Linked DNA regions of Cricetulus griseus. The protein of the gene in region 6 purifies or fractionates together with the protein of the main gene of each other region. This does not show direct contact. Links are inferred from orthologs where the notes say so. Each region holds a gene or a part of one and is shown on either strand. Other genes may lie near its edges. The genes, in order: Znf512b, Smarcc1, Zfhx3, Top2a, Sap18, Chd4 and Srrm1.

Evidence for each region.
Region 1: the proteins of Chd4 (region 6) and Znf512b purify together in Homo sapiens (affinity purification with mass spectrometry; 4 studies listed by BioGRID and IntAct, with this or other methods). This does not show direct contact. The link is inferred for Cricetulus griseus from reciprocal best matches to the Homo sapiens genes CHD4 and ZNF512B.
Region 2: the proteins of Chd4 (region 6) and Smarcc1 purify together in Homo sapiens (affinity purification with western blotting; 6 studies listed by BioGRID, with this or other methods). This does not show direct contact. The link is inferred for Cricetulus griseus from reciprocal best matches to the Homo sapiens genes CHD4 and SMARCC1.
Region 3: the proteins of Chd4 (region 6) and Zfhx3 purify together in Homo sapiens (affinity purification with mass spectrometry, with the first as the bait; 3 studies listed by BioGRID). This does not show direct contact. The link is inferred for Cricetulus griseus from reciprocal best matches to the Homo sapiens genes CHD4 and ZFHX3.
Region 4: the proteins of Chd4 (region 6) and Top2a purify together in Homo sapiens (affinity purification with mass spectrometry; 3 studies listed by BioGRID and IntAct, with this or other methods). This does not show direct contact. The link is inferred for Cricetulus griseus from reciprocal best matches to the Homo sapiens genes CHD4 and TOP2A.
Region 5: the proteins of Chd4 (region 6) and Sap18 purify together in Homo sapiens (affinity purification with mass spectrometry; 3 studies listed by BioGRID, with this or other methods). This does not show direct contact. The link is inferred for Cricetulus griseus from reciprocal best matches to the Homo sapiens genes CHD4 and SAP18.
Region 7: the proteins of Chd4 (region 6) and Srrm1 purify together in Homo sapiens (affinity purification with mass spectrometry; 3 studies listed by BioGRID). This does not show direct contact. The link is inferred for Cricetulus griseus from reciprocal best matches to the Homo sapiens genes CHD4 and SRRM1.

What each region holds. Positions count from the first base shown.
Region 1 is NC_048599.1:319,835-324,766, reverse strand, and holds the start of Znf512b (zinc finger protein 512B), read right to left. Parts: upstream 2,984-4,932; 5' UTR 2,837-2,983; intron 2,812-2,836; exon of another isoform or gene 2,592-2,811; intron 1,162-2,591; 5' UTR 1,160-1,161; coding exon 1,036-1,159; intron 795-1,035; coding exon 652-794; intron 368-651; coding exon 239-367; intron 146-238; coding exon 1-145. UniProt on the Homo sapiens protein: Involved in transcriptional regulation by repressing gene expression. Associates with the nucleosome remodeling and histone deacetylase (NuRD) complex, which promotes transcriptional repression by histone deacetylation and nucleosome remodeling.
Region 2 is NC_048597.1:217,639,460-217,643,754, forward strand, and holds part of Smarcc1 (SWI/SNF complex subunit SMARCC1), read left to right. Parts: intron 1-1,314; coding exon 1,315-1,386; intron 1,387-3,626; coding exon 3,627-3,740; intron 3,741-4,295. UniProt on the Homo sapiens protein: Involved in transcriptional activation and repression of select genes by chromatin remodeling (alteration of DNA-nucleosome topology).
Region 3 is NC_048596.1:185,042,746-185,047,474, reverse strand, and holds the start of Zfhx3 (zinc finger homeobox protein 3), read right to left. Parts: upstream 3,047-4,729; 5' UTR 2,915-3,046; intron 1-2,914. Other genes in the region: spidroin-2-like, read left to right, coding at 3,131-3,299, 3,470-3,705.
Region 4 is NC_048600.1:112,078,527-112,082,821, forward strand, and holds part of Top2a (DNA topoisomerase 2-alpha), read right to left. Parts: intron 3,857-4,295; coding exon 3,661-3,856; intron 2,103-3,660; coding exon 2,011-2,102; intron 1,776-2,010; coding exon 1,623-1,775; intron 1,504-1,622; coding exon 1,420-1,503; intron 86-1,419; coding exon 1-85. UniProt on the Homo sapiens protein: Key decatenating enzyme that alters DNA topology by binding to two double-stranded DNA molecules, generating a double-stranded break in one of the strands, passing the intact strand through the broken strand, and religating the broken strand.
Region 5 is NW_023276807.1:212,950,756-212,954,173, reverse strand, and holds part of Sap18 (histone deacetylase complex subunit SAP18), read right to left. Parts: intron 1,426-3,418; coding exon 1,303-1,425; intron 994-1,302; coding exon 840-993; 3' UTR 1-839. UniProt on the Homo sapiens protein: Component of the SIN3-repressing complex. Enhances the ability of SIN3-HDAC1-mediated transcriptional repression. When tethered to the promoter, it can direct the formation of a repressive complex to core histone proteins.
Region 6 is NC_048601.1:21,323,656-21,327,950, forward strand, and holds part of Chd4 (chromodomain-helicase-DNA-binding protein 4), read right to left. Parts: coding exon 4,169-4,295; intron 3,960-4,168; coding exon 3,832-3,959; intron 3,642-3,831; coding exon 3,506-3,641; intron 3,373-3,505; coding exon 3,194-3,372; intron 3,023-3,193; coding exon 2,783-3,022; intron 845-2,782; coding exon 641-844; intron 523-640; coding exon 317-522; intron 1-316. UniProt on the Homo sapiens protein: ATP-dependent chromatin-remodeling factor that binds and distorts nucleosomal DNA. Acts as a component of the histone deacetylase NuRD complex which participates in the remodeling of chromatin.
Region 7 is NC_048595.1:17,923,315-17,927,609, forward strand, and holds part of Srrm1 (serine/arginine repetitive matrix protein 1), read left to right. Parts: intron 1-2,791; coding exon 2,792-2,881; intron 2,882-3,148; coding exon 3,149-3,271; intron 3,272-3,557; exon of another isoform or gene 3,558-3,690; intron 3,691-3,696; exon of another isoform or gene 3,697-4,295. UniProt on the Homo sapiens protein: Part of pre- and post-splicing multiprotein mRNP complexes. As a component of the minor spliceosome, involved in the splicing of U12-type introns in pre-mRNAs. Involved in numerous pre-mRNA processing events.

The DNA.
Region 1 (4,932 bases), on a different chromosome or scaffold from region 6:
CTGGCCGGCTGACCGGGCCAGGCTTGGGGGTAGGCAGAGGATGGTCCATGTGATTCCAAATCCGGTGCTTCTCCAGCTGGGTCTTGGAGGTGAATGCGGCCTCGCAGAAGGGGCAAGGGAAGGCCAGCCTATCTGAGATAGCGCCCTGGGCAGGGAGGGCAGGTGTGGGATGGGGCCCCGGGGGCCTCTGCCCAGATGCACTCCCAGGCCTCCTCTTCCCCGACCCACAGCCCCTTACCCCTTGGCACCGCTGATAGTGGTACTTGAGCCCGTAGATGCTGGGGAACTCTAGCCAGCACCCTGAGTTTGGACACTTCACTCTTGAGTGTGCCTTGAATTCATCTTTCCATTGGTTCATCAGGGAGAACTGGATAGAGGAAAAGGTCAAACTGCTGATTTGCAGCTACCCAGATTCAAAGGGCCCCCAAACCAAACCCTTTAAACCTCAAGAGCAGATCAAGTATTCAACCATGCTGCAGGCTACTAACATAGCCCACTGGGGCCTTATATGGGTCAGATGCAAGGGCCCTTGGCCTCATGCTGAAACAAGCTGGCACAGGATGTATTGTGGGTAGGTAAGGGCAGGGCAGTGGCCTTCACAGGCTGAATAGTATGAGCAGCACCTCCCAGCCCCACCCTCAGGGAGCTCACAGGAATATCTCGGAGAGCCTGATTCTCGGCTTTCGGCCTCCCTTTTTTCTTCCCTTCTGTCCTGTCACTGGCTGGGTTTCCGGGGTCAAAGCAGAGTGAGGCCTGGCTAGGCACTGTATGTCCACTGTGAACCACTGGCATACCTACAGCACAGGAGAGAGCAAGGCCCAGTGGATACATAACACCACCACCTCCCATGGGGCAGCAAGTCCAGACTGAGTCTTGGCTTACCCATACCAAGGCCCAAGGTACCTAGGACAAGAGTTTAAGACTCAGGCTAACAATATCCACCCCAAGAAAGTCCTCAGGATATCCAAGGAGGTAGCCTACTCTACCACTGGCTATCTGTACCCTCTAGAATTGATTTCTGCCATGGCTCCTTACCCAGCTTTGGTGGGTCTTGCAATATGGGAAGCTGGACATCCTTCCGGCTGCCACTCTTTCCAGATCCACTTTTGTTGGACCCTTGAAGCCGGCGGCCTCCTCCAACACAGAAGGATTCAGTCATCTCTATAGAGCAAGTGCACAGACCTATGAGCTAAATGGGTCTAACTCAGGGCTTTCATTGGAACTATCCTTGAGGCCCACAATAGGCCTCTCTACCCCATCAAAAAGGATGTAATCGGGGCTTCTAACTCAAGGAAGGGGGTCTGCACAGACAAGATCTGTTTAAATAACTGACAAGGCATGAGCAGTGTGGAAAGAGCTGAGACTCTTTGCTATATTTGACACACTCATCTCACCATCATCTAGACACATGGTACCACAGTGTGCAAAGGATCAGGTGGGGCTTGTGTTCAGAAAGGGACTGTGCAATAGGAAGGAGACTGATAATATCCCTCTTGGGGGACAATTAATTCAAAAGCAGCCATGCCATGATGCCTCAGGGACACCTTCTCCTTAGGGCCCTGGCCTCTGCCCCTCCAGATATGTGATACTAACTTACCCAGATGAGCACCCTTAAAGACCTCTCTATGGACACAGAAGACAGCCAACGTGAGAGTTGAAGGCCTGCTTCCCCACCACATGCACCCATCTCTCTGGTGGGCAAAGTGAAGACCCACTGGAACTCCATTTTGGTCCCCATGCTTGCTGAGCCATCCTACCTGCCTGTCTTCTCAGCCTTCTGTGTAATCAGAGCCCCTCCACCCAGATGGAGGCACTGGTTCGGACTCTGAGCCACCACAGGCTAGCAGGCCACCATTGCTTGCTATTCTCAATAACTTCGAGATTACTTGCCTAGTTGCCCACTTCGGCTAAACAAGTTATAGCCAATACTGGCCCAAGCTTCAGAGCCTGCCAGGCTGAAGCACAGAGCATGCTGGGGGTGGGGGGGTGTGAGGTTCAGGGACCTTTTCTGCTTGGGACATCTCATACCCTGAAAACTGAGGGGGGCTCTGACCATAGTTATGTGGAGGCCTCTCAGAGGTACCCAAAACCACAGAAGGGGGCGGTACCAAAGAGCAAGGTTCAAGCAGGGGAACCCTCTCCTGACAGTTTGTGACCAACTCAAATCAGAGGGGATATGTAGGCGCTGCTATATCCGGGAGCGCTCAGGTTAGACGTCAGGTCAGCCACTGTCCACTGCCAAAGGCAACACCCATACTGGGCCTAGGGGAAGGAGGGGAGGGTCTTAAACCAACAAGTTCTCTGGGTGTTCTCGTTTTGTAGCTTCAGAAAGAAACGAGTCATCCAGAATCCTGGTAACATTTGCGGCCAGGGGCAAAGGGCCTGCTGCACCCTTCCAATCTGGTCAGAGATCAGAGTTAGGGGTAAGGCATGGTGGTCGCCAGAGTAGAAGGAAAATCCCTCCACCACCTGGGGTCCCCAGGATCTCGCTTATAGCCTCCGGGGAAGGGGGCGCCGCCGCGGACTCAGGCCACTCTCCTGGTCTGGCGAGCGCTGCCAAGACGAGCACCTGAAGGCCCGTGGCCACCCACCTGTCACCTGAGGCCGGACACGGGCTGCAGCCCGGGCCCGGAAGCGCCGACCGCGGGGGGGCGAAGGCAGTGAACCAAAATGGCGACTTTTTCTGGAGAAGGAGGAGGCGGGAGGACGGCGCCGACGCGGGGAGCGGGGCGCGGCGCGGGTCCGGGCGCGGCGGGGAGGCGGGCTGAGCACACGCCTGGTGCGGGGCACGGGCTGGCGCCGGGGCCGCGGTAGGGCGAGCACGGCCAGCGCTTACCTGCAGCGCCCAACGGGTGCGGCCGGGCCAGGCCGGAGCCGGAGCCGGGGCCGGAGCCGGGGCGCGGGGCGCGGGGCGCGGGGTCCGGGCGGCGCACACTCCGCGCCGTGCTGCGCACATGCGCGCTCCCGCCCCTCCCACCTTTGACAGTTTTACTGCGGGGGGGAGGGGGCGAACTCTCGCGGTATTCACGCGGCAGCCGCTGCGGGGAAGGGGCCAGTGGGGCCTGCCTGTGCCTCGAGGCTGTGAGATCCCTATCCCCGGTGGTACCAGCACCAAGAGGCCTGTCAAGCGTGCCTAAGGCAGGAGTCGCTTTGTGGACAGTCCAGTAAACTGAGGCATGTCAGGAACTCTCTGGACACTACAAATTCTGTCTCACAGATTAAGCAACCTGTCTGGTTGCGCTAGCTGAAGTAGACCCTATGAGGAAAGATTGCCGTTATAGGAACTCCATAGACTGTCAGTCAGGGTGCGCCCCAGCCTGTATCTGTCCTGGTGGCCACCTTAGTCAATCTACACTCTGTAAAACCATTGGGCTTTATTGGGATTACTGGCTATTGAATCAACTCTCGTCGTTGTGAACAATGGTCCTAGACCAATGGCTAGTATCTAGCTTCTCTGGCCAGAGAGAGCCTGGGCTGCTAGTGTCAGATCTGGGGGTAGGTAATGACACCCCAACCCACAGGATTTGGGAATAAATGAAGCAGAGAGAAATAAACTCTCCTTTGGCAGATTGGGGAGGGGAAGCTGGCTGGTAAAGAGGTAGAGTGAAAAGACTGGAACTCCACAGGAAACCCAGGGATACCCTGTATTAGAGATAAGCTTTCATTTGTTCAGGAGGGAAGAGAGGAAAATTGGGCTTTCATTTGGTGACCACAATACTGTCGTCCCAGCCCCACTCTGTGTTTTGAAAAAGGGTCTCACTGTGTAGCCTCTGGCTAGCCTGGAACATACTTTGTAGACAAGGCTGGCATAAAACTCAGAGAACTGTCTGTTTCTGCCACCCACATGCTGACATTAAAGGCACTTTCCAGGGTGTGGAATGTCAGAATGTTGGTAGCAGTCAGTGTGCAGACTGAGATACATTCAAGGTTGTTACCTTTCCCTGTATAAATCTGAGTGTTCACAACTGTGATGTGCCAGTGCCCACAGGTTGGTATGTGTCTTAAGTGACCATGTGTATCAGGTGGCAGTTGTGTGTAGGCATCACAACATCATGGCATATCTGCTTGTCCTGTTGTAGATAAGATTGTTTGCCTGTGTAACTAGATGTCAGGGTGTGTGGGATGTGTGTAATATGTTCAGGTTATGTACGTCCATGTGTAACTATGTGTCATGATTTAAAGGGCTGATTATTTTAAAGATTTATTTATTATGTATAGTGTTCTGTCTGCATGTATCTCTGCAGGCCAGAAGAGGGCACCAGATTTCATTACAGATGGTTGTGAGCCAACATGTGATTGCTGGGAATTGAACTCAGGAAATCTGGCAAACCAGCTAGTGTTCTTAGCCACAGAGCCAGCTCTCCAGTCCCAAAGAGCTGATTTTTAAACATTTGTGTGTGTGTGTGTGCACAGTGGCCAGAAGAGGGCATCAGATACCCTGAAGCTGGAGTTATAGGCAGTTGTGAACTGCCTAAAGTGGGTGCTAGGAACTCAACTCTGCAAAAGTAACAAGTGGTGTGTTTGTCTTTTGTTTTGTTTTGTTTTTTGGTTTTTCGAGATGGCTTTGGTTTTTTGAGAGAAGGTTCCTCTGTGTAGCTTTGGAGCTTGTCCCAGAACTTGCTTTGTAGACCAGGCTGGCCTCCAATTCACAGAGATCTTCCTGTCTCTGCCTGGGATTAAAGGTGTGTGTGACACTAACACCTGGCTAAGAGCAGCAAGTGCTCTTAATCACTGTGCCAACTCTTCAGCCCCACCTCCCTGTAACTGGCTTTTGTGTATATCAAAGTGTCAAGTCATTTTGCAATGTAGTGTGCTTATGTGCACCATGTGGTATGTCTTGTGTGTTTGTGTTAGAGAGTGATTATGCATTAATATTTGTGAGCTTGGGTAATTATATCTGTGTATATGGGGATGTTGTTATATATCTTTGTA
Region 2 (4,295 bases), on a different chromosome or scaffold from region 6:
CTTATTTATTTATTTATTTATTTATTATTTGCTCGTTCATTTGTGCACTTGTTTGTTTTCTGTTTGTGTGCCTGCTGAAGCATGAAAGTAGAGGTCAGGACAACTTGCTGGAATTTTTTTCTCCTGCATCAGTATATGTTTAGATGATTGAAGGCATATTTGGTGGCAAGATCCTTTGTCACTGAGACGTCTCTGTGGACAGCCACCATATGACATCGTAAATGTAGATGAAGAAAATGGAAGGACCAATCAGCTTTGTTCACAGATCATTGATATGTTCTGTCACATATAACTAATACTTAACATGATTTCTCTCTGGAAAGCCTTCTTTGGGACTCAGATGTCATCACACATAACACACACACAAACACACACATCTATAGCAGAAATCTGGATATACAGTTGATTCAAATAGAGTTTGCTAAGCCTGATCATTTTTTCTTGGGCTCTACAGTACTTCCAACCTAAAGAATGTTTTTAAATTATTGAATTTATTTATATATAGTTACTTAATAAGATCTGATAATCCCTGAGAGATATTTTAGTTCATCACAGTTTCTGAGGGCTAGAAGAAGACAAACTGGTGTTTAGGAATTTCAATAACTATTATAAATTCCAACTCTTGACTGACTACATTGTGTGACCATACTTAGTATTCTGATCTTTGTTAGCCACTTTCCTTAGAAATCTTTTCATTTTGTGCCTTTATTGTTGTAATAGTATAAAGAGGAAGTAATACAATATATAATTTTTATTGTCCTCATAGTTGGTCTTTTATTTATTTATTTTTGGAGATTGGACATTGAGTTCTACCCCACGATTTCAGTCAATATTGACTCTCTCAATTGTTGGTGTTACAGACTTGAGCCACTATTCCCAGCGGAAGTTTTTCAGCTAATTAGGGAATAGAAACTACAGTATATACTTTGGGTAGAAAACACAAAAGTTTTTAACTGTGTTGTTTCCTCTTAAATGTAAAGGAAATTATTCAGTCAAACTATTTTTAGTAAGAAGTACTCAGGTTTTGGATTTATTTATTTGTTTGGTTGGTTGGTTTTTCAAGACAGGGTTTCTCTATGTAGCTTTGGAGCTTATCCTGGTACTCAATCTGGAGACCAGGCTGGCCTCGAACTCACAGAGATCCGCCTGCCTTTGCCTCTCCGGTGCTGGGATTAAAGGCATGCGCCACCAATGCCTGGCTATAGTTTTTGGATTTATTAATTTTCCTTTGAAACTTGGATAATGCAGAACTCATTTTAAGATTTATTTCTTTTTCAAAAAACAATGTAAACCTACGTACCTCTTTTCTTTCAGTATTCATGTGATTGAACGGCGTGCTCTTCCTGAGTTTTTTAATGGAAAAAACAAATCCAAGACTCCAGAAATGTGAGCCCAGTGTTTATCGAACTTTTTATGTTCCTAGCATGGATTTGTTGTATATGAGTGTTTTGCCTGCATGCGTATTCATGTGTACCATGTATGTGCAGTGAATGTGATGTCCAGATGAGTGCATTGGGTCTCCTGAAGGTGGAGTTAAAGGTTATGAGGCAAATCTTGGTCCTGGGCAAAATCAGAAGCAAGTGCTTTTAACCACTCGGCCTTCTCCCTGCCTCTCTTGATTCAAAAAACACAATCTCACATGGTTGTTTTTTACTTTTTTATTTTTAATAAGCAAATAGTGTGCACCACTCAGAAATTATGTGTATCTTACTTCTGCATCATTTTAACTTTAAAGGAATGTGTAGTTTTTCCTAAACCTCAGGTGATATGTGTATCAGTTCTAGCACTTAAATATTGAATCTAGTAAATGAATTTTAGTTGAAGTTTGTAATAGTCACTTTTAATGTTTCTATAGCTATATAATGGTCTGGTAGGGAATGAAATCTTTATCCCCATGGTAAATTATTACTAATTACATTCTCATTCAATTGCATTTGAATTGAGTTAAATTTTCTAAAGCATTTGCTTTTGCAATAGAATTAGGAAAAACTGGAAGGAAGTTGCTTATCAGAACAAATATTTGTCTTGTTCGTGTGACCCAATGTTATATATTTCTGGAAGTTATGTTTTTTTGTTGTTTGTTTAGCTTTTATTCTACTTTTTTCTGTTTGTTTGTGATAGGCTTTACTGTGAAGACCAGGCTAGCCTAGAACTACAGTTACACGCCTGCCTTTGTTTCCTGATTGGGATCAAAGGTGTGCTTGGCCAACTTCTTGAATGTTTTATCTCTGAAATTAATTCACAGCTCTCCTTTCTTGGAACATGACTCTATTTCCATTGCATGTGTGTACTTGCAAAGTTAGAGTGTCCTGTGATCACCCTGTTTTAGGAAGACATGATTTAAATTCTTTTCCATATAAAACACATGGGCCCACATGCACTTAACAATAAACATATTATGGTTTTATTTTTCCATGTTAATTTGAATACAGTGCTTTGATGTCAGAAATAAGGGCTGTATTCGAGTTACCAAATTCCAGATTGGGATTTAAAGCCCAGATTGTTTTCCACCCTTAAGTGTTTGGGGAGTCATACTTTAAAATTAGACTTTTCTATTTTAGCCTTTTTGTCTTGTAAATTCAGTCATTTTTGTATGCCCATGGTTGGTCTGTATGTAGCCTTTTTGAAATTTTTGACTTTTTGCTCCTACATAGCTGCTCACATGTGTTGTGAGACTTTCATTTTTGACATGCAAAATTTTTTTGTTAATGTATGCAAAAACTTGTGATAGCTTACACCTTTAATCCCAGCAGAGCAGTTAGATCTTTGAGTTCAAGGCCAGCCTGGTTTATAGAATGAGTTCTAGGGTAGCCAGGATGACACAGAGAAGCCCTGTCTTGGGGGGCAGGGCAAGGGAACCTGTTGGTAGATGTCACAATCCTTAACGTTCCTGATTTTTTTTTTTTTTAAGTAATTCATTTAATGTTATTTTATGTGCATCAGATCCCCAGGAACTGAAGTAACAGGCAGATGTGAGCCACCATGTGGTTGCTGGGAATTGAACTTGGGTCCTCTGGAAGAGCAGACAGTGTTCTTAACCACCTAGTCATATCTCCAGCCCCAACATTTTTGAGTTTTAAAAAGCAATTGTGGCAGAAATGCTACAGTATTCTGTGGAGTCTTATGTGACTTTTAGTCTCAATTTTTCTTGCTTTTGTATGCTTTGGTCTTGCCCTGATTTGTTTTCTCTTTGGTTGTTTGTCTAGCTAAGTCTCCCTGAATGGAATGCCCTGAGAAAGTATATTGATGTGTCATAACCATGTCCTTGGGTGGAAAGCAAGAGTGGTCACCCATTATGAACATAGATCTGAGATGTGGTCTTCTCACTTTCCAGCCCTCAGTCTAGGACAGGTCTTCAAGTGCTCTGTGCTTCAGTTTGTGTGTAAATGGGATGATGAACCTGATTTTACTAGGGTTCTGGGTATTAGGTGAGCGAGCTACTTCACAGTGTGCTTAGCAACCAAAGGTAGTGTTCAAATTACCTCATGTGTTGTTACAATGTGGTAAACATTTGTTTTTCATTTTATTGGTTATGAACTCATTTGAATTACTAATATTTTAGTACAATATCAGTGTTGTTGCTGCTTAATATTGCTGTCATTTTATGTCTTTGGGAATATTTTTAGATACTTGGCATATCGAAATTTTATGATTGACACATACCGTCTAAACCCCCAAGAATATTTGACCAGTACTGCTTGTCGGAGAAACCTGACTGGAGACGTGTGTGCTGTGATGAGGTAAATGTTTGCCTTAGATCCTGTGCCGATTGATTTACTTTTCAAGGTTTTTGTTACTTTTATTCAGGTGTATAATGCGTGCCAGTTTGAGCTTGGATTCCAGAGGAGGAACTAGAGGGAGTTAGGAACAGTTTGACGTGGGTGTTGGTTGACAAATTTGGGTTTTCTGAAAGAACTTAACTGTCTCTTGCTCTCATATCTGACAAGTTTTACATGATTGAACTCTTTCCTTTTCCTTCCTTCCTTCCCTCCCTCCCTCCTCCCTCCCTCCCTCCCTCCCTCCCTCCCCCCTCCCCCCTCTCTCTCTCTCTCTCTCTCTCTCTCTCTCTTCTTTCTTTCTTTCTTTCGACAGGGTTTCTCTATTGCTTTGGAGGCTGTCCTGGAACTCACTGTGTGTAGACCAGCGTGGCTGGAACTCACAGAGTTCCACCTGCCTCTGCTTCCCTAGTGCTGGAATTCAAGGCGTGGGCCACCAATGCCCTGCTGAGATTGACTTCTTCATTCCACTCATAGAGATTCTGTATTTTTAATACTCACGTTAATAATCTGTTCTTG
Region 3 (4,729 bases), on a different chromosome or scaffold from region 6:
GTGCATTTATTCTTGCAGTGCTGGCCAGCCAGGAGGTGGGGCTTAGACAAGCTTCCGCAGCCAGACTCCCCACTGCCTCCCCACTGAGGAAAGACTCAGGGCCTTAAGCTGGGAAGCAAGCTAGGAACTCTTCCAGGCATCAATGCAGACAGCAGGCAGGAACAGCAATTCCACACATTTTGAGAAAACACTGCTTAGTCACTTAAATATTTACTTTTAAAGATGAAACTTTTGGAACTCCCCAGTAAAACTAAGTTGCCCAGGAAGGCATCTGTTTTGGGCCCTCAAGCATTCCTAAGCTCTCACACTGTCACTTCCAAAGCCTCCAGAAGATACACCAAAAGGAACAACAGTTCAGACATGGCACATGTATATACAAACACGCACACATCAGCAATAAGGACATAGTCCATGAACACCACATGTGACCAAAACTTCAGTTTTAGTTCCTTTAAGAACCAGCTAAACCTCCGTCAGCATGAGCAGACCAGTTCTATCAGTCTGCATTTACAGATTTATTCTAATAAATGAACCCCCTTTTGGGTTGCCCAAAGTGAGCCAGGCCTGTCCTGGAAAAGTATAAAAGCCACCACTTTTAAGTCCTAATGGTGAAGGCTGAAATCTCACGTATTTGAGCTCCTTGACACTAGGAAGTCCAATTGGCACTAAGTTTACATGGCAGTTAAATCCAGTCCCAAAACAGCAAGAAAGCACTTTGCTGTCTGCCTGGAAGTACCGTTTTCTTTGGGCCTTTCCACATTCCCTTAGCATTCACTTGTGCAAGGAAACCAAAATTAATGTTTTAGGTGATTGGCAGTTGCAGCTCATTGTTTTTGTTGTTTTCAGAGCCAGCAAGTTCTTGTCAATCAAAACAGATTTTAGATGTGGAAAACCAGAGTTCCATCCCACAGACAGCAAGTATACCTACTGGGTGGGGTGAGAGGGAGGCAAGTGACCCCTGCCATAAAGACAGAAAGTCTTCAAGGCACTTAATTCCGTGCCGTTCCAAAAGAACTGCTTTCAAAGTGTACAAGTGCTTGGTTCTGCCACCGACCCCATGTTGTTAAATAACACTTGTGTAATTAAATAAAAGACCCAGTGTGACCCCCAGCCAACTCTGAGAGCCACTTTACATGTCTTCTGAAAGCCATACTGGAAATCAAATGCAGACAATCTCTTTTGTCCTGTGACTTAGAAAAGAAAGGGGTAAAGTTGCTCTTGGCCTTCATGGCTGCACACTCTCTACAAGGGAACCTTCAAGAACCCCTCCAAACTAGATGAACACAAATACAGGTATGCAAACATACAAGCATTTACCTCTCTCCAAAGACCCCATTCTTGAAATCCTTCAATGATTAAGAATCTTGGTCTCCAGATCACTCATAACCGTTTGCTATGTCTGTGATTTAGAATCTCAGGCTGCCGGTGGATGCTGTGATAACAAGAAACAGGCTCCCAGTTCCCTACTGCAGCCTGTTACCTTGGAAGGGCTATGCTTTCCTATTTAATGTAGTCTGGGCCACAGCACTCTAGCCCATCCCACTGGAACTCGTGATTTTTAGGGTTTCCCTTGAAAGCTATCCAGAAACCACAGCCATTAAAAGAACATGAAGGTTTGACACCTCCTGAATTTAGGAATGAGGGGACTCTAGGGGCCAACTCTACAAACTTACACCTGCTGCTTGATGGCAAAGAAACAGTTACCCCCAGCTAGGGTGAGCTTCAAATTATACTCTATTTATTTAGTGACTCGTCTCCAAGGATCTCAAAGCATGAAATGAAGTAAGATGAAGATGACGTGTAACTTTCTCACTATCTCTCTTCAAGGATTAAGTCTGTTTGCCTTGCTGTTCCTTGATGCCTTCGACCAAGCAGGCCCTACTTGGCCAGAGCCTGAAGAAGAGGCCTTCCCTGGGTTCCAGATGGGAAGTCTATACTCTCTATGGTTATGTGCCAGTGCTTCAAAGGCTGACAAATGGCACAAATGCAAAGGGTGAAGTACCCTCCTGGATTCACCTGCTCACCGGCTGCCTTTAAACCAGTTTGGCATACCGGTACCACTATGTCAGGCTGTTCAAACTCCTTTGAGTGTATCATGTATGGGCTATGTATGGGCTTTTCCCTGAGGGCAAGATCCCTCATCATCATTACATAGATATGTACAAGACAGGGCTGTTTTCCAGAAAGCTTGTTTCTCTCCAAGCCTAAAAATTACTTTTGAGTTGACATTTTTTTTTCTTGTTGCTACCCTAACTTGGACACCTCTCATCTTTAACTGGGTAAAAATCTTACCTCTTCCTTCACACCCCCCCCCCATAGCAAATAAATGCTGCACGGGCTCTGACAGGAGAACAAACCAAAATTAGAGGGCGGCCAAGATGATCTCCATAGGTCCCCTCCAGCTCTATACTGATTCTCTCTTTAATTACTCCTCAAACAGGCACATTCTTCACATTGCTGCAAACTGACCAGCGATTTCTAACTCTCTCTCTCTCTCTCTCTCTCTCTCTCTCTCTCTCTCTCTCTGTTGTGTGTGTGTGTGTGTGTGTGTGTGTGTGTGTGTGTGTGTGTGTGTGTCTGAAGAGGGTATGTTCCAAACGAAAGAACCCGAAGTTCTCGGTGGCACCAGCACCCCAAGTATTAGGAAGGTAGGAACTACCCCAAAAGCAGAATGAGGAGGAGGTCTGAGAGGAAAGCGAGAGGGGATAGAAGGAACGTACTCCCGCGCCCAGCAGACTCTAGCCACTCTCTCCCCAGGTAGGTTCCCACTGGAGTCTAGGAGTTCAAGTGCATCCAGCCTGCCCTTCCCCCACATGCCCCAAGAGAATGGGAAGTTCAGCCAAGACTCGCAGCACCTGCCTCCAGCGCTAGGCCGGCTGCGAGCCGCGCGGCGGGGGAGGGAGGCTGCACTCACCTGGCACACAAAGCCTCCGTACACCTCGGGAGGAAGGAGGCACTCGGAGGTCCGGGGGCCACCACTCCGGCCTGTGCGACAACGGGAGATTCCAGCGGCAGCGGAGCCCCGAACTTACCCACCCCAGGCGGCATTCTCCCCACCTCCCGCTGCCCCCCGGGCTCAGCGGTGGCGCAGGCTAGGAGCGAGGGGCCTGGCGGCAGGGGCGGGGCGCGCATGGTGGCGGCCCGGGCTGGCGATCTTCGGGCTGCCCGGGGAGGGAGGTCCCCCAGGCGCGGCGGGGATTCACCCACGGGGCGCGGCGCTGCGTCCCGGTCCCCGTCCCGGCCTGCCCGCCTCTCTCCTCCTCCTGCGCCGCCCGCCCGCCCGCCCGGAATCGCTTTATGTAAATGAAGCTCAACTCGCAGTTTGCAGCGCGCACCGCCCGAGGAAGGGGGGCGGGCGGGGCGGGGGGCCTTCGGGGATCCACATTACACAGCAACAAAGCGGAAGGTTAATTTGAAACTCACAGCCCCGCAGCCTCTCGGCTCCCCGGGCAAAGCCTGACATCTACAGTCGCGCTGGGCGCAGGCCGGACTGCTCACGGTGGCCGCGCCCGCGTGCCTGCGGGGACCTGGGGACATAACACACAGAAGCAGGGCCGAGTCTGCTGGGCCCTGGCTCCCAGCACCGGCCTTGGAAGCAGGCTGGGCCGCACTCGCCTGGGGACAGGAGCCTTGGCTGCCCCGGCCTACACCAACCCGGGAACCGGCCCGGCAGGAACAAAGCCGCGTCCCCGAGAGGCACTGACCGCACCGCTCATCAAAAGTCAAAGGCCGGCCTGGAAGAAACGGACGCGCCCTCAGCCACCAAAAAAAAAAAAAAAAAAGGAAGAAGCAGCAGTCCGGGCCTCCGAACCCTGATCCATCAGTCTCTGGGCCCTGTCCACGTCAGAGCCAGGCCACTCTTAACAGGAGACTCTAGCCAATGTGGACAGGAATTTATTTGAAACACACACCCATCCTATTAACTGCTTCACAGAGAACTTCTGTTTTTCAGCTGCAGAAACTTGCGAAAACATCCCCTACTCTCCACTGAGAGTTTAAGGACAGTTTTTGAGGAGAGAGGAGAAAAGGAGAAGAGAGGAAGAAATGACTAGAAAAGGACGAGCAGTTTGCAGCCACCCGATTTAAGGAAGGAGACTGCCCTTAAAAGCCACACAGCATTTCAGATAGGGCAAGAAAGGTGCTGGTCTCAGGGGGAGTCTACCACCAGGATCAAACCGAACAAGGCCACCTCAACTGGTGCATCTGCTGGGCACTTCTAGGTTCCCCTAACTTCACCTTTTACATCCTATTATGTAAAGGCAGGCCCCTTGAAATCTCACCGGAAGTCTCCAGTCCTCTCAGACAGAATTCCACCCTCCTCCTAAATCTAGTCTTCATTCTCAGCACAGAAAGAAAGACACCTGCTTTTTCTCTTTCAGAAAACCAGCCACCCAGGCTGCCCCTGCAGCCGCGAGTCTTTTCCTACTGCACAATAATGAACCATGCAAGTGTTAGAAATATAATAAGCTCACCAGGCGAAGAGCAGAATGTATGGAATCGTATTTGCATTAAGCACGCGTTAACAGGGAGGAGAGGGGGATGCTTGGTTGGTGAAAACTACCATGTCCCTGTATAGAAAGCATTTTGTACAATAGAATTCGGGTTCAAATCGATGTAAATACCTAACCTGTTGGGTGCAGACTAACCCCAGTCTATATTTTAGTACAAAAAAAAAGAGATTGCAATTTCCCCCCCCAAGCTAGGGCCTTGGAAGAAAAGAACTGCCTTA
Region 4 (4,295 bases), on a different chromosome or scaffold from region 6:
ACATTTGTGCTTTCTTCCCTTTTGCTTTCCCCCCTTTTCCAGGAAGTCCTACTTGTTCATCTTGCTTTTCCTTGGCTTCAACAACCTATCAAAGGGAATTATGAGAATAAATTTATAGGTGAGGAGAACATCACACCTAAAAAGCATAGTTAAGTAAACTTTCCATTTTTACAATTTAAGATAAATCCATGATCAGCCATAGTGAAGGTCCAATGCAGGGTAGTGAAGGTACGATGTGGATGACTTTAGGAAGGCAGAGACAGGAGAACTGGGTGCCTATGTCTAACTGATGTCTAATGTCATCACTTAATCTTTCTAAAGACAAAGAGGAAACTGTTCTATAGGATAAGCTATATATTTGTAATATCAAAAAAACTAAGTACTACTAAGGAAATTTAAGTGACAAAGGACATTCTGAAACTGAGGGGCCACCTCTAAAAGTGACTTAACTTTCTCTCTTTAATCTGTAAAATACTGATTTAGTGTATTTCTTGCCATCACTTACTTTATGCTAACTAGTATTTAATAACCTGTTCCTTTCCCTCTCTAAAATATATTATCATTATTGTATGTGTGTGCATGTGCACGTCACAGCAAGCACATAGAAACCACAGGACCACTATGTGGAGTCGGCTCTTTCCTCCTTACCTGAGCTCTGGGGATTGAACTCAGGTTACCAGGCTTGTACAGCAAGTGCTTCACCTGCTGAGTCACCTGCCCTCCTGTTTTTGTTTTCATGTTGTGCAGCATGGTCTCTAAGTCCCTGTGTCTGAGATGACCCTCAATTCATCTTCCATTCAAATGCTAGAATTACAGGCATGTGCACCATGCTCTGCCTAATGTGTTTTAATGTTTTTCTTTTTTGAAGTGCTAAGCAGAGAGGGCAAAAGTTTGCACCTGTATGACAAGTGCTCTACAATTATATTGTAGTACTTGCATTTTGAGTGGGTCTTAGTACATTACATATATAGTTCAGGCTGGCCTGGAACTCAGTGGGTAGCCCAGGCAGGCCTCAAATTTAGTCTGAGATTATAGGTGTACTGTCTAAGTGGCTACTTACCATATCCTGCCTTTTTATTATTTTGGGATATATTCTTTCTCCTTTTATATCTCTTCTTTTATTAAATATGAAGCTTCTTGATAAAAAGGGATGCTGTTTGAGCTGGACAGGTACTCAGTGGTTAAGAGACCTTACTGCTCTAGCCGAGGTTCAGTTCTCAGCACCCACAGTAGGTGACTCACCACTGCCTGTAACTAACTACAGGTCCAGCGGATGGGCACCTTTGGCTTTTGTGAGCACTTGCATTTACCCACACCTTCCCCAACATACAAACACACATATACATAAGAAATATACATATTTAAGAAAGGGCATGTTGCTAGTCTACTAGTATTAATATAGGCTTTATAAATACATACCTCCAGTTCTTCAATAAAAACTGCCAAATCCTCCTTCCACAAATCTGATGGACTCTTGTTCTTTAATGTGTTGAGCTCTTGTTCCTTTACCAAAAAATTGAGAGTGTAAATATGTACAAATAGTATTTTTTAAACAGAACAGCTTACTTTATTCCCCACCAAAAGGATATTAAACCGGCCATTCCAGTCTATCTACAAGTTACCTTTTCATTTCTTTGTTTGCACAGTTCATCTTTCTTTTCTTTGGTTAGATACCAAAGGGGCATATCAAGAAGGTAATTGAAAGTCGGTCCAGATTCTGCTACAGAGTCACTGTTTTCATTGTCACTTTCTTCATTTTCTTCTTCATCTGGGACCTAAAGGATGAATTAAAATACAGAATATGAAATATAAACATACATGGTCCTTGATTTTTTTTTTAACTTGTGACCTCTAGAAATGCAAGAAAACAGATTTTACATTTTTTAATTTAAAAAGTCTCCCCATTTTTATTCTATGTATATGGATGCTCTGCCTGCATGCATGTCATAGCCAATAGATAAATAGAATGAACATATTCGGAGCTTAGCAAGTGGCTAGCAAAGAAATTACCTTTTGCTGAGCTTCTTTCCAGGCTTTTACAGGATCTGAATCATATCCTCTCTGAATTAGAACTTTAATTAGCTCTTTTTTAGGTTTATTTTCTGTTGAAAAAAAAAAAAGAGAGATAAACTTTGAGCAAAATTTTCGAAAAAGGATAAGGTGTTTCTACATTACATTGAAAGATTAAACTGGAAAATTCAAGCCAGGTGGTGGTGCACACCTTTAATCTCACACTCAGGAGGCAAAGGCAAGTGGAACTATGAGTTCCAGGGCTGGCCTACATGAGTGAGTTCTAGGACAGCCAGGATTACACAGAGAAAACCTGTCTTGAAAAAACAAAACCCCAAAATAAACAAACCCACAAAACTGGAATTTCAACTGTCTATGTTTTGCCTCTATTTCTGTCCAGATCATAGACAAATTTCTGTGAACAAGGAAAACTGAATTATCAGGAGACATTTAAACCATAGGTGAGGCTGAAATCTATTAGCTCTCTCTCAAAAGAATAGAGAAGAGTCAAAGCCTCCATTTCTGAAGAGCCTGTGACTGACTCAATTATGTTTTCTGGCGTTTCTTTCAATGTTTCATTGGTCTAGGCTCTAGCAATCTGTTCAAAGCTTGATGTTCTTAATTACAGCACCACACAACATGGCCCTCTCTCAGTGTCTGCTGCAGCCAATTATGGTTTGAGGGACTGTCAAAGTCACTAGTTTCAGAGAACCACTCATTGTCACTGAACTTGATGTTTAGTCAAGGTCTTTTCTCCATGTGGCCCTGGCTGTCCTGAAACTCACTCTGTAAACCAGGCCGGCCTCAAACTCATAAGAGATCCTTCTGCCTCTGTTTCCCCAGTGCTGGGATTAAAGGTGTGTGACACCACCGTTTAGCCTATGCTTTATTTCTTTATTTTAAAGATTTACTTATTTATTATGTATATAACGTTCTGTTTTGTGTGCATGTCTGCTCACCAGAAGAGGGCACCAGATCTCATTACGGATAGTTGTGAGGCACCATGTGGTTGCTGGGAATTGAACTCAGGACCTCTGGAAGAGCAGTCAGTGCTCTTAACCTTAGAGCCATCTCTCCAGCCCCTGAGCTTCATTCTTACACCCAGCTTTAGTCAAGATTCTTTTTTTTTTCTTTTATGGACTTTCCAACAAAACAAACATCCCTAAGATTTGCCTCTTTTTCAGTCTTCTTTTAAGATCAGACTACTGTTTCTTCTTGTGATCAATTAGTTATACAAGGTCTTTTTCTCAGACAAGATCCCATGTACTCGGGGTTGGTTTAAAATCCACTACGGAGCCAACGACGGCCTTAACCCTCCTGCTTCCTGTTCCCAGTGCTGGGAACACAGATGTGTGCCACCACAGGAAGTTGATGTAGTTATTGGAGTTGGACCTAGGACCCTGTGGATGTCAGGAGGCATTTTACCACTCTAAGCTACACCCCAGCCCCACACAGGTCTTTTAGTTCTCTAGTCTCTTCCCTATCTAAACATTTAGTCTTGATTTCTTTAGATGCTCAATCTAGGGGGTAAGGCTAACACAGAGTACACAATTAGCAAGTTATAAGGCCCTGGATTTGAGCCCAAGTACTACTAAAACCCTACAAACAGCAATAAACAATCTAGGGAAAGTTAGCCCACACTTTACATACCAATGATTATTTTGCCATCTATTTTCTCTAATATAAAACGAGCTTGATTATTCAGTTTAGCAGATTCTGCACCAAGCATTCCCAGAAGCCATTCTTTTCTTAATCCATAATATTTAAGCCTAAGCTCAAAGAAGTCTTTTAGAATATCCAACACAGTGTCATATTTCTTTAAGCAACCTACATGGTCAAAAAGCACCTGGAAAAGAAAAGAAGACTCAAGCTTTGAATCAATAAATTGCATAACCTTTATAAAAATTATCAGAAATGCCCGTTAAATATCAATTATCAATTACTGAAAAAAGATTTTACATCAATGGATGTTTGCCTGCATGTTTGTATTGCAACCTGTGCTTAGAGCACTATCCCATGGAGGCCAAAAGAGGCCCTTGAATCGCTCAGAACTGAGTCACACAGTTGTGAACTGCCTGCCATGTGGGTGCTGAGAACTGAACCCAGTGCTGAGAACAAGCATTAAGTGTTCTTAACTGCTGAGACATCTCTCCAGCCTTTCCTTTTGAGACTATACAGCACAAGATAGCTTTGGAATTCATAGTGATCCTCCTGTCTCTTTCTTCAGATCACTAGGATTACTAGAGGGGACCCACATGCCAACAATATTAGTTTTTAAAGATGTA
Region 5 (3,418 bases), on a different chromosome or scaffold from region 6:
TTCTTCATGTCAGAGAATAACTATTTAGCTCTCTTCCTCCTCCCTTGCCCTTCACACACACATCAGCATGACTGACCTGCTCTGCCATCTCTCCTGCCCTGCAGGTCCTACTCTAAAGCTTTTACAGCTTTCCAGCACTTCACAGGACTGCTTCCTTCCCTCTCCCTCCATTCTCAGCTCTTCAAGGTAAACCTTGATTGAACCTTAGGCTTTGGCTCATTTCTTCTCTTCAACACATGCATGGTGCTATAGTCAGGAGTGGGTCAGATCCCCTAGGACTGCAGTTAGAGTTGTGAGCCATCATGCAGATGTTGGGTGGGGCCTGGGTCCTCTGCAAGAGTAGCAAGTGTTCTTAAACTGAGCCGTCTCTCTAGCTCTTGCCACCTATTTTATTTTGTTATTTAAGCGAGCCAAGCTTTTCCAACACAAGATGGTTTTTTCAACGTCTTATTCACACACGCCTATAGTCTAATACCACAAACTGACTGTACCATTTTATACAACCCCATGGCTTTCTTGTTCTGCCTCTTGAGGGCTTAAAATGCCCTCATGGTTGAGACTCTGTTCCCAGGTCTCCATTAACTTCACACCTGGGCTAATTGCACACATGTATTTCACAACAGTTTTACACAGAATGCTAAGAGCACTTTTCGTATTTTACAGGAGGACTTAAAACATACAGACTTTAATATACCAAAGTACATCCAACTCTAATTCCTAAATAAATGTGTTACAATTTGCTTAAAATTTAAAGGCTTAATGGCAAGGTTCAAGGGAGGAAAAGATTAAGTTTATTTTACAAACTGGCTGAAAAATAACTTGAAGAAAGTCAATAGAATTTAGTACGGTCTCATCCGTCCTGAAGGAGGTGCTCGATTTGGAGGAGTGATGGCTATGTCCAGATAATCCCCTATTTGGAACTTCTGTGACTGCAGGGTCATGGAGTCATCAGTGCCCTTCCTGCCAGACATGGTGCTGCCAATCTCCTTAACTCTGCAGTGAAGGAAATCAGCCGTTAATAGACTAGAACTGCATCGATGGAACAGTATAGACTACAGAGAACATGAAATGGTCTCTACACAACAGATTTCCAGAATTTAAGCACTACATTCAAGCTAAGCCAGATCTGAATATAAGCCTATAGACACCACCACTAAAGAGAGTATCCTAAAGCCAGGCATGGTATCATATGATATGCCTATAATTCCAACACTGAAGCCTGAAATAGACTGATAACTTCATCTTGTCAGAAAAGGGTCCTGCAAACTCCAGAGAGTACAGAAATAGTAACAAGTCACCTACCGATATCCAGGTCGTTTAAGATCCATAAAAACAATTGCAAAATTGAAGTGTGTGCCCTTCTTTCTGGCTTCTGGGTAGACTTCCTTTACTAAACTAGTCAGTTCTTTCAAGGTTGCATCCATCCTAAGGTTTTTGAAAAGATAATACGATTAATAAACATTAGTGTAACAGGGACATAAAAAACAGCAAGTTGTACATCCTTGAGTTGTATTCCAGGGCCTCACACTATATGAATTACCCACAAGATGGCCTGGCAGGGAAAAGGCAATTTGTGGCACAATCCTGGCAAACCGTGTCAACCCAAATAAAGGTCAGGAGAGTACCAACTCCACAGTTGTCCTCTTGACCTCCTCAAGCATTTCATGGGATGTGGGCAAACACACACAAGTAATAATTAAAAAATTATTTGCCTCTGAATATTTCCTGTGCTGGCCTCAATGCTAAAAATATCAATAACTCTTACTGCAAGAGTTTAAGGAGATTCCCACATAACCACTTCTGAAGCTACACAGCATCATCTGGCTCAGTGATGTACTTACCCACAAGTAACCAGTCCAAGTTATTCAACTGCACAAATTAACTGTTTAATTTCTAAGATATATAATCTCATACAATGCAGCCTCTAAAACTAGAATGCATCTTAGAATCAATGTGCTGGGATAGCATCTTCATAAGGATATGAAATTTCTTATTCTCTAATAGAATCTTGATGGAGGCAGGCAAGAAGGCTTAGCAAGTATCATTGCTTGCTGCCAAGCCCGATGACCTAAATTCGATCCATGGAGCTCACATGATAGAACAGAGAAGTAGCCTGTCCTCTGTCCTCCACACATGTACCATGACACTCCCATACACTACATATACACAGAAAAGTGTAATGAAAATTTGCCAGTGAGATGGCTCAGTAGGTAAAGGCACTTGCTGCACAAGACTGTTGTCCCAAGTTCAATCCCCAGAATTCTTAAGTAAATGTGGAGAGAAAATATCCCAAAAGATGCCCTCAGCCCTCTACAAGTGATGTAGTACTTGCACAGTGCACAACACAAAATAATAAAAAATGATTTTTAAAACTTATGTGGAAAGTTCATTGGGGGAAGGGAAGGGAGAGTGGGGAGAGAGACAAAGACAGAAAACGGCAGGAAGAGAACAAAAAAATGATTTATTTATTTTTTTTTTTAAAGATGGAATGAATCCTAAAGCCAAGGACATGAAATTTTGGGTCCTTTTACAACACAAGCCATTAACTTAAAAATTCTTATCTAAACAGAAACAGAGGAGTGGATGGGGGGGGTGGCAGAAGGCAATGCAAGGAGAGGAGTGAGGGGAAACTGCAGCTGAGATGTAAAATAAATACAACTTAAAAAAACTTCTGAACTCAGAACTAAAAATAGTCTTTTGGACTAATATAACACAATCTAGAACAAAGGAACTGAAAATGTAAACATTTTAGCAATGTTTTAACAACCTCGTTCACATATTGTTTTTGCTCATAACAACAAGAAAAGTGAAATGCAAGGTCTAAACTTAAAACAGCATTTTGTGCAAAGTGCTGGGGGAAAATGGCAGAACACTAGACACTTGAGAATTAGAACACTGATGTAACAGCATCAAGGAAAAGAACCAAAGAGCCCATTGCATTTCTACTGTGAACTGTACAATCAATTTCCACACCACCATATTCAAATACATGGAGTGAAAATACCAAAGATGACCAACCACACTGTCCTCCATTTTCTATTCCAAATATTTCAATATTCCTGTAATAGAATTTGCTCTTCCAGAACATGCCCTTCTGCTAGTCCAATTTAATTAAAAAAAAAAAAATACCACCACCCTAGTTAAAGCTGTCGAAGTCAGGTTCTTGTTCCCAAGTTCTTGTTCCCAAGCAACGTACTACTGAGCTACACCCTCAGCTCCAATCTATAAACTGCTGTGAAGTGCCACCTGTTGTCACCTCTAGGGAAGGGTCTCACTGCATGAACAGTACAGCCCAGCATGCCAATGCCTGACACCTGATAAGTCCCAGTCTGTCAAGCTAATAAGTGACTTATAGGTGTCATAGTCACCAAGAAAGACATTACTTGTATTATCATACTTTGCTCACAAAGATACAAGC
Region 6 (4,295 bases):
CAAGGTCAATAAAGAACAACTCCTCAGAGCCAGAAAGCAACTTTCCTCACCTCCCCAGTCAGTCTTGCTCTTAAAAACTGACAAAACCATTCTAAATGTGCCAGACTCCACATGTATTCAAAGCCTCAATGATATCTGTCTCTGGACCACTAATCTCTAACTTATGCTCTCCCTATGGGCCAAATTCCAGGACTCGGTCACTGAATTACAGAACCTAATTACAGAGCCTAAGTCACTGGCGATGGCCATCTGCTAATTCCTAACTCCTTTAGAAAGAGCCCCTAAGTACACCACCTCCAGGGAGCCAAGCTGGTACCTGTGGTTGAGGATTCGGTGGATCATCATCCACTCCGGCTTTATTCCATAGCGATAGAAGCGCTCTTCCATCTCTGCAAACTTAGGGTCCTTGTTCTTTCGCTTTCGGCTCTTCTCTTCATCTCCACCAAAGTCCCCAGAAGGTGGCTCATCCATATCATTCTTCCGCTGGTAGTTTCGGAACATCACCTGACAGTGCAGCTCCAACTGGGAGGGGGAAGAGAAAGTAAACCACCCTGAAACTCCATCCAGCCCCTACTCACAAGGCTGTTTTCTCAACACCTCTGCAGTATCACCCCACATACACAGCCTGTCCCAGGCTCACCTGCAGTTCTGATACCCAGGAGCAGTGCCAGTAAGACATGCCTTGCCATTTTACAAAGAACTGTCTCTCTGGCCGCCCCTCCAGGGGTTTGGGAGAAGGGGTATTAGGATCAGCATCTGGAGGCCGAGGCACTGGTGTGGGAGACGGCGGCTGGCCCCACTTCCAAATCAGGATCTTCTGCACTTTGCCCTTAAGAGCTGGACACTGAAAAAGAGATCACTTTATCTCAAAAAGCTGCACAAGGATGAGAACATGAGTTCAAATGGCCAGCATTTGGCAAGATGAAACTTGCTGGTCTTCCAAAGGAACAGCATTTGATTCCCAGCATTCCCATCGTGGCTAACAGTAATTTGTAACTCCAGTTCCAGGGGATCTGAAACCTTCTCTCACTGAATACACACTGTGTCTACACATACAGTCAACAAAAACACCCATCATAAAACAAAATTGCCAGCACCCACACAGAAAGTCACACAGAGTCATGCACACCTGCAACCCCAGTGCCATGGGAGCAGATGAAAGGAAGGATCACGGGAGCCTGCTAGCTGCCAGCACAGCTTCAGGTTTAGTAAGACTTGTTAATATTCTTTCCAAAGGAATAAGGTGGAATCATAGAGTAGAACACTGCTCCTTTCCTGGCCTGGGTACACAAGAGGCCTGGATCCCTGCACATACATGTGCATGCATATACAACACACACAGACAGTTTTTTTGATTTTCAGCTAAGTCTCACTGAAGAGCCCTAGCTGGCCTGAAAGTCAATATACAGACCAGACCAACCTTAAACTCACAGAGATCTGACTGCCTCTGCTAGAATTAAAGGAATGTACCATCATGCCCAGAAAAATAAAAATTAAAAACTACAGAGAGCCTGATGACCTAAGTCTTTGATGCCAGCACTGGGGAGGCAGAGCTGTTAACTGGAGACCTGCCTATCTGTTTTACACAGTGAATTTTTTTTTGGGGGGGGGGGTTCAAAACAGGGTTCCGCTGTGGCTTTGGAGGCTGTCCTGGAACTAGCTCTTGTAGACCAGGCTTGATTCGAACTCACAGAGATCCGACTGCCTCTGCCTCCCGAGTGCTGGGATTAAAGGCGTGTGCCACTAACACCCAGCCAAAAAAATGTGTTTTAAATAGTTATATAAACAAATTAGCAGACAAACCCAAAAATCTTGTCAATGAGTCATTAAGACTTCATTCCAAATAAAAAATAACCCCATAGGCCGGGCAGTGGTGAGTTTGAGACCAGCCTGGTCAATAAGAGCTAGTTCCTGTCTCGAAAAACAAAACAAAAAAATATATAACTCCATGACCTTCTCTAGGTAAACAACACTAGAATATTCTCTTCCTTTCTGGACATCATCACAGAGCTTAAAATAAAAAGCCAAGGAGCTATACAATAAGCAATAACCCAGAATAGCTGGGCATAGAAAATCCACAGACCTAGAGCCAAGAGATTCCCTGTCTCAAGCAACCTAAATGCAATAGACGGGGTCTCAAACAGTCTAAGCTATCAAGAACTGAGGTAATACATCAAGACTGAAGTGAAGCTGTAACCTGAGCTTTTCTTCTGATACTCAGTAAGATGAGAACGATGGTATGAGTTCAAAGCCCACTTGGGCTACATAATGAGCTCCTTGTCTCAAAAATAAGTTTATTGTAGCACCTGTATATAAGAGCTGTTATAGGACCAACCTAGGTGTTGGAGAAAATGTAGTATATTAATAACAATGCAATTTTTCAGCTATAAAGAATTATCATTTACAGGAAAATAGGTTTATGACAATCATATAGGCAAATTAAGTCAGTCTTAGACAAGTTTTCTCTAATCTTTGAGTCCTAAACTTACAGACACATAAAATCATGTATGCCAGAGGACATAAAAGTAGACACAATATTATTGAAGAGGAACAAAGGACTGACAGGAAGGAGAAGAAACCTCAATGCAACAGGCAGGCAGGAGGCAGTGGCAGGGGAATCTCTGTGAGTTCGAGACCAGCCTGGTCTACAGAGTTCCAGGACAGGCTCTCCAAAGATACACAGAGAAACCCTGTCTCAGGAAAAAAAAAGAGGAAATTCCTGTCTCAGCTAGAAATGTGTAGGTCTCCAATGATTTCTCCCGCCCTCACTGAAGTCACTTACAGTACAACGGGGACAGAGCCATTCGCCATTTGGGATCTCAGGCAGTGGGGGGTTCAGGCAGTGGATATGGTAGGAAGAAGGGCAGGTGTCACAGCATAGTAGCTCCCCGCCATCTTTGCAGACTCGACAGAACTCCATATGGTGGTCGTCTTCCTCTTCTGGGTCTCCCCCAACCTCTTCGAGAATTTCCTCACCCTCAGAATTGTCCTCTTTAGCTTCCCACTGGATGCCCTCCTTCTCCTGCAATAAAGAACCAGAGATCAGATTATTACCACCCCACCCCCACCCCAAGCCAGCACCTACTGTCCCTTTACATGTTTCCCAAAGCTGACAGCCATTTCTATTTCTATCTAGGCCCAAAGAAGCTCACCCCCGACCCTTGCCCTAAGGGGTGGGTACCCAAGTACTCACACAGTGTGGGCAGCTCCACTTGCCCTCGGGGGCCTTCTCCATGTCTGGGTCCAGGCACACCATATGGTAGGCTCGGGGACAGGTATCACACAGGATGATCTCACCGCCTTGCTGGCACACCTCGCAATAGTCCTGGTGGTCTGTCTCATAACCATCCACAGCAGTCACCTCCTCCTCGCCTGGGCAAGGAAGAGGGAAAGCCCAATTATTAGAACAAAACCACCTCCCCCCAACCCTTATCTCCTAAGGGAGATTCTTCCCTGGCCATTCTCACCCTATCCCATTAAACCAAAATACAGAAAAGAAACACACCTTTCTTTTTCTTTTTAGTGGTCCGGAGTTTCTTGCGGCTCCGACTACTTCGGCTGGTAGAACCATCCGAAACAGAGTAGCTATTGATGCTGGCATCATCGAAGTCAGATTCCACATCTAAGTCATCATCCTCACTCTGGAAAAAAAAAATAAGAAAAAAAAAAAAAAAGGTTAAAAGCCCAGGCCAAGGAAAGAATGGTGAAGAATCCCAGCAAGAATTGCAGAGAAGGAGCGTAGTCACACCTGCCTAAGGCAGTAAAATACCCCATTCTCATGTACCCAACAGAAGCTCCCTCCTTCCCCACTGGGATGAACCAGGCTCTCACCGAGGATCTCTTCCGCTTGGAGCCAAAGCCTCCCAGCTTGATTTTCAGAGGAGCTACTTTCTTGGGTTTGGGCTTCTTGGCATCAGGCACGCGAGGGCTGCCTTTGGGCTTCCTTCGAGCATTGGGACCTAAAGCCAGTGCACAGCCAAATGTATATTACAAGGCAAGTGATGGGAGAACAAAGTCTTCACCTAAGTTTTGCTCTACTCTGCCTTATCTTCTAAATCTGAGGTTCACTCCTGCATCCTGCTGCCTACCTTAGGGGTGATACAGCATTCCTAGGCTGTCTTTTGACTTCCCAAGCCCACCCTGAACTCCTCATTAAGTTCCATCTCACCTTTGCCCTCCTTGGTCTTGGCCTTGCGGATAGGCACCTCCACAGGGGGAGGGGGAGGTGCAACTTCAGTAGCAGTCACCATGCTCTCCACCACAGCCACAGCTGCTGCCGCCGCAGCCGCCACTGA
Region 7 (4,295 bases), on a different chromosome or scaffold from region 6:
AGTGTGCACCACCACTGCCCAGCCTAGCCCAAAACATTTTTTTCTTTAAAACTTTTTTGTTTTTGCAGTACTAGGGACCATGCCCAGGGCTTTGTATGTGTTAGCCAAGTGTTAAACCATTCAGCTATAGCCTTTCTGGATCACTTTCTAGGTACTTTAATAGGGATTTTGTTTTGGTTTTTGAGAACAGGTTTCTCTGTGGTTCTGGCTGTCCTGGAACTCATCCACCTGTCTCTGCCTCACGTGCTGGGACTAAAGGTGTGCACCACCACCACAGCCTGGTAGCTTTGACCTTTTGACTGGCATCCAGTAGTTACACATAATTGGGGGCTATAGTGTGGCATTGTAGCAGGTTTGCCATGTAATGATCGGGTGAGGATAATCAGTATACCTATCACCCCAGACATTCAGCTTTAATTTTTGATTCCTTGCCCCTGATTTTGCACACAAAAACATCCTCAGAGGGTTAGGTTGTGTGTTCTCGGGACATGGTAGAGTACTTGCAGAGCTGACATACTAACTACTGCAGGGTTTTACCTTCTCAAACAAAACTGTTTGGTTCTGAACTCACTATGTTGACCAGGCTGACCTGCAACTCAGAGACCCTCCTGTCTCTGCCTCCTGAGTGCTAGGATAGGATATCATACCCAACCAATAACTTTGTTGTTACAGTACTAGAGACTGTGCCCAGGCCTTTCTACATGTTAGCTAACTGCTCTTGCCACTCTGCTATATTCTCAGCCCAAACAAAAGTTTTCTTGATCACTTTCCAAGGAACTGTAGCCAGCCAGCAAGCCAGTCCGTAGATTTCAAATCGGAGAGCCAGTAACTTCCATATTTAATTGAGCCTGGAGGAACTACTGCTGCCTTCCTGCTCTGAGTTTTGATGGTTTAATTTTCATGGACTCCAGACAGAGTCTCATTGTAGTCCAGGCTGTCCTCAGATTTGCTATGTAACAAGGTTGGCTTGAACCCCAATCCTCTGCTCTTGTCTGAAGTTTTAGGATTACAGAAGCACGACACCTCACCTGGCTTCTAACTCAATAATTCACCCCAACCCCATTCTTTCCTCTCCTCTCTGAGAAAGAATCAGTGACCTGAACAGAGTAGTTGAGAATTTCTGGTCTTCTTAAACTTCCCAGTGCTTGGATTATAGGTGTGCACTACTGTGTCCCACATTTTTGGCCTTGGCATGTAACTCTGGAACACACTGGGTTTCTTGTATCTCTCTCAAACTGTGGAGCTAAAGATGACCTTGAACTTCTGACCTTCCAAATCCGTAGTGCTAGGATTACAGGCACCACCATACCTGGTTTATATAGTGTTAGGATTAAGCTCAGGGCTTCCTGCGTGCTGGGTAAACACTGCCACCACGGAGGTGTATATCTCCAGCCTTCAGTTTTGCTATGCTTACTGGAATTTGTGTGCCAGGCTACCCTCAGTGCCAAACTCTTCCTGCCTGCCTCTCTCCACATTTTTAAAGTTACACCAGGCTGAAGCATTGTAGTCTTGGGGTGTTCTTGCAAACAGTGCTACTATTTGGGAAGAGAATAAAACTTGAAATATTTCAGTTTTCTCATTTAAACACCTGCAGAAGTACACAAGTCAAACTTAACATTGATGTAGACAGGGTGTCTTACTCTGAATGTTACTATGTTTTACTTGTTAAGGATGTACATTAATAATATTAAAATATAGGTGCCTTATATGTCAGCTGCATTTAGAAAAGGATGTGCATCTTATATCTGAATATTAGTTATGGTGTTTAAAAGTCACAACCTTTATTTGCTATTAAAGAATTTAATAGCTATGGCTCAGACATAATATAGACAACTATTTTTTAAAATCCCCGAAAACTAGAAGGGCGTTATAATGTGGTAAAGGAAATGAAGTGAGAAGAACTGCGTCAGTGTGGTGGGAAGTTAGGCATAGGCCCTAAGAGCGAAGGGTTAGGCCATGCTGCTGGCACATGCTGTGAATCCCAGCTCTACTCCAGGCTGCTAGATACCTGAGTTGGAGGCCATCCTGATCCATATAGTGAGTTTCAGGCCAGCCACTGTGTGTGGGAGCTGGGAACAGTGTGCAAACATAACTAAATAAAATAAGTGGAAACTAATAAAGTTTTTTTTGTTTTGTTTTTTTAAATTTTGTAATCACCAGTATGGGGATTCAAGCCACCACTTGGGAAACTGAGACCGGAGAATTGCTGTTAGTTTAAGGGCTGGCCTGAGCTAACAAAAGAAGCTAAGATTTTTGTGTGTGTGCAAGAAGGGCGGGGAGTATTGACAGGGTTTCTCTGTGTACCTACTCTGACTGTTCTGGAACTCTCTGTAGACCATGCTGGTCTTAAATTACTTTATTTTTCTTTTCTTTTTAGTTGTGAAAATTCCTCTACTACTTTTGTATCCACCTGAGTGTTTAAAAAGCAAACAGTACTAATGGCCACTTTGGTAAAAAAACAGTCTCCAACCCTAAGGATTACATCGTTTGGACGGGTTTTAGTCCTGGTATATCAAACCCCTTGGCCATGACAGCAGCTACTACTTCATAGAGAGCACTCACCACATGTTCACTGTTTGATTTTTCTTAAGGCTGTCAGGGTGGCTGAGTGGGTGAAGGCACCTGTTGCTAAGCCTAATGAATTGAATTCCATCCCTGGGATCCACATGCTGGAAGGGGAGAACCCACTCTCCAGAGTTGTCCTCTGACCTCGACATGTGTGCACTATTTTTTGAAAAAGAAAAGGAAAATTTAATCTTGTATTCTTAGGACATGTGTTTGTTTCCTTCAGGGAACAAGTGCGGAGCAGGATAATCGGTTCAGCAACAAACAGAAGAAACTCCTCAAGCAGCTGAAATTTGCAGAATGCCTAGAAAAAAAGGTATTCTGGGTGGGGGCCATGCCCCTTTTTTGTAGCAGTTGTTGCATTTTAGGGTTTGGGAGATGAACTGTAACTCTTGTGTAAAATGTGAGTGGATGAATTCATGGTTGCACATTTGCCACCACATACAGAGTGCAACCAAAGAATGAGCATGGAAGGAACATTTTTTAAATGTACACAAGCTAAGAGAAATATTTAGATAAAGTATAACTGGGGTTCTTACTGCAGTGAACTTGTGCTTAACTAATGGTTTGCATGTTTCATCAGGTGGACATGAGCAAAGTAAATTTGGAGGTTATAAAGCCTTGGATAACAAAAAGAGTAACTGAAATCCTTGGATTTGAAGATGATGTTGTGATTGAGTTTATATTCAACCAGCTGGAAGTGAAGGTACTAATATACAGATGGCTCTTTTTTCTGAATATGTGACATAATTTGTGAATCTATGGAAACTCAGTTTTTCTATGGAATACAAATATAGAAGGATTATTTTACAATGTTTGTTGTGAAAAGAATTCACTTTGTAAACAACTGTTAAGGCTGGAAGTTTAGTGAAGGTACATAGTTTTGAAAAGCTACACAGGTGAAAAATCAAACTTACTGTTTGTAATTTTGCTGTTACATGTTAAGTTACTTTGACAGCAATTTTCTAATGATAATGTGATTTATGATTTAAAAGGCCTGAACCAAAATGGAAGTTATTCCTTGCGTCTGAAGTATAGCACCATCACCTTATTAGGTCACAGCAGAGTGAGTGTCCCAATGTCGCTCTGACCCAACTCCCTTGATGACGCAGTGTGTGTTTGGAGGTGAGTTGTGTAAAGTGGCCGAACATCAACAACAACAACAAAACACAAACAAGAGCAATTGGTAAAGCTGTATACTGCTCTTTAAAGTAGCTTTTGAGATGGACATTTATTTGAAGCATGAGGGGCGATTCTGATTTGATTGGATGATGTTTTTAAAAGAGCTAAAGTCTTCAGCTGTAGTTGCAAGTCAGCTGGTTACCACTTAGAATTTAGGCGCAGGATTTTGTTTACATTCTAGTTAAACTTGAGGCAGATGAACAGACAGTCCTGTTCAAGCCAGTTAACATAATTGTTCCTGTCTTCCAAATGAAATGATACAAGATAATACAAGTGATGTTTTAAAACATTTGTTATAACATAGTTTGCTATTTTGCCATGGCATCCCAAAGGACAGTGTAAAGATGTACCATATAACCTTTTGGTAAATATACCAATGTGAATTTACTTTTACATTACTCCTTTTCCCAAAGAGTTCATGCTTGAATTTTGACAGAACAGTTACATTCCAACCGATATAAGGTATTTCATTTTTAAAAACAATATGGTGATTATTTTGCTTTTAATGTTTTTAAAGACTTAATTTTAAGACTGTACTTTATAAAGTA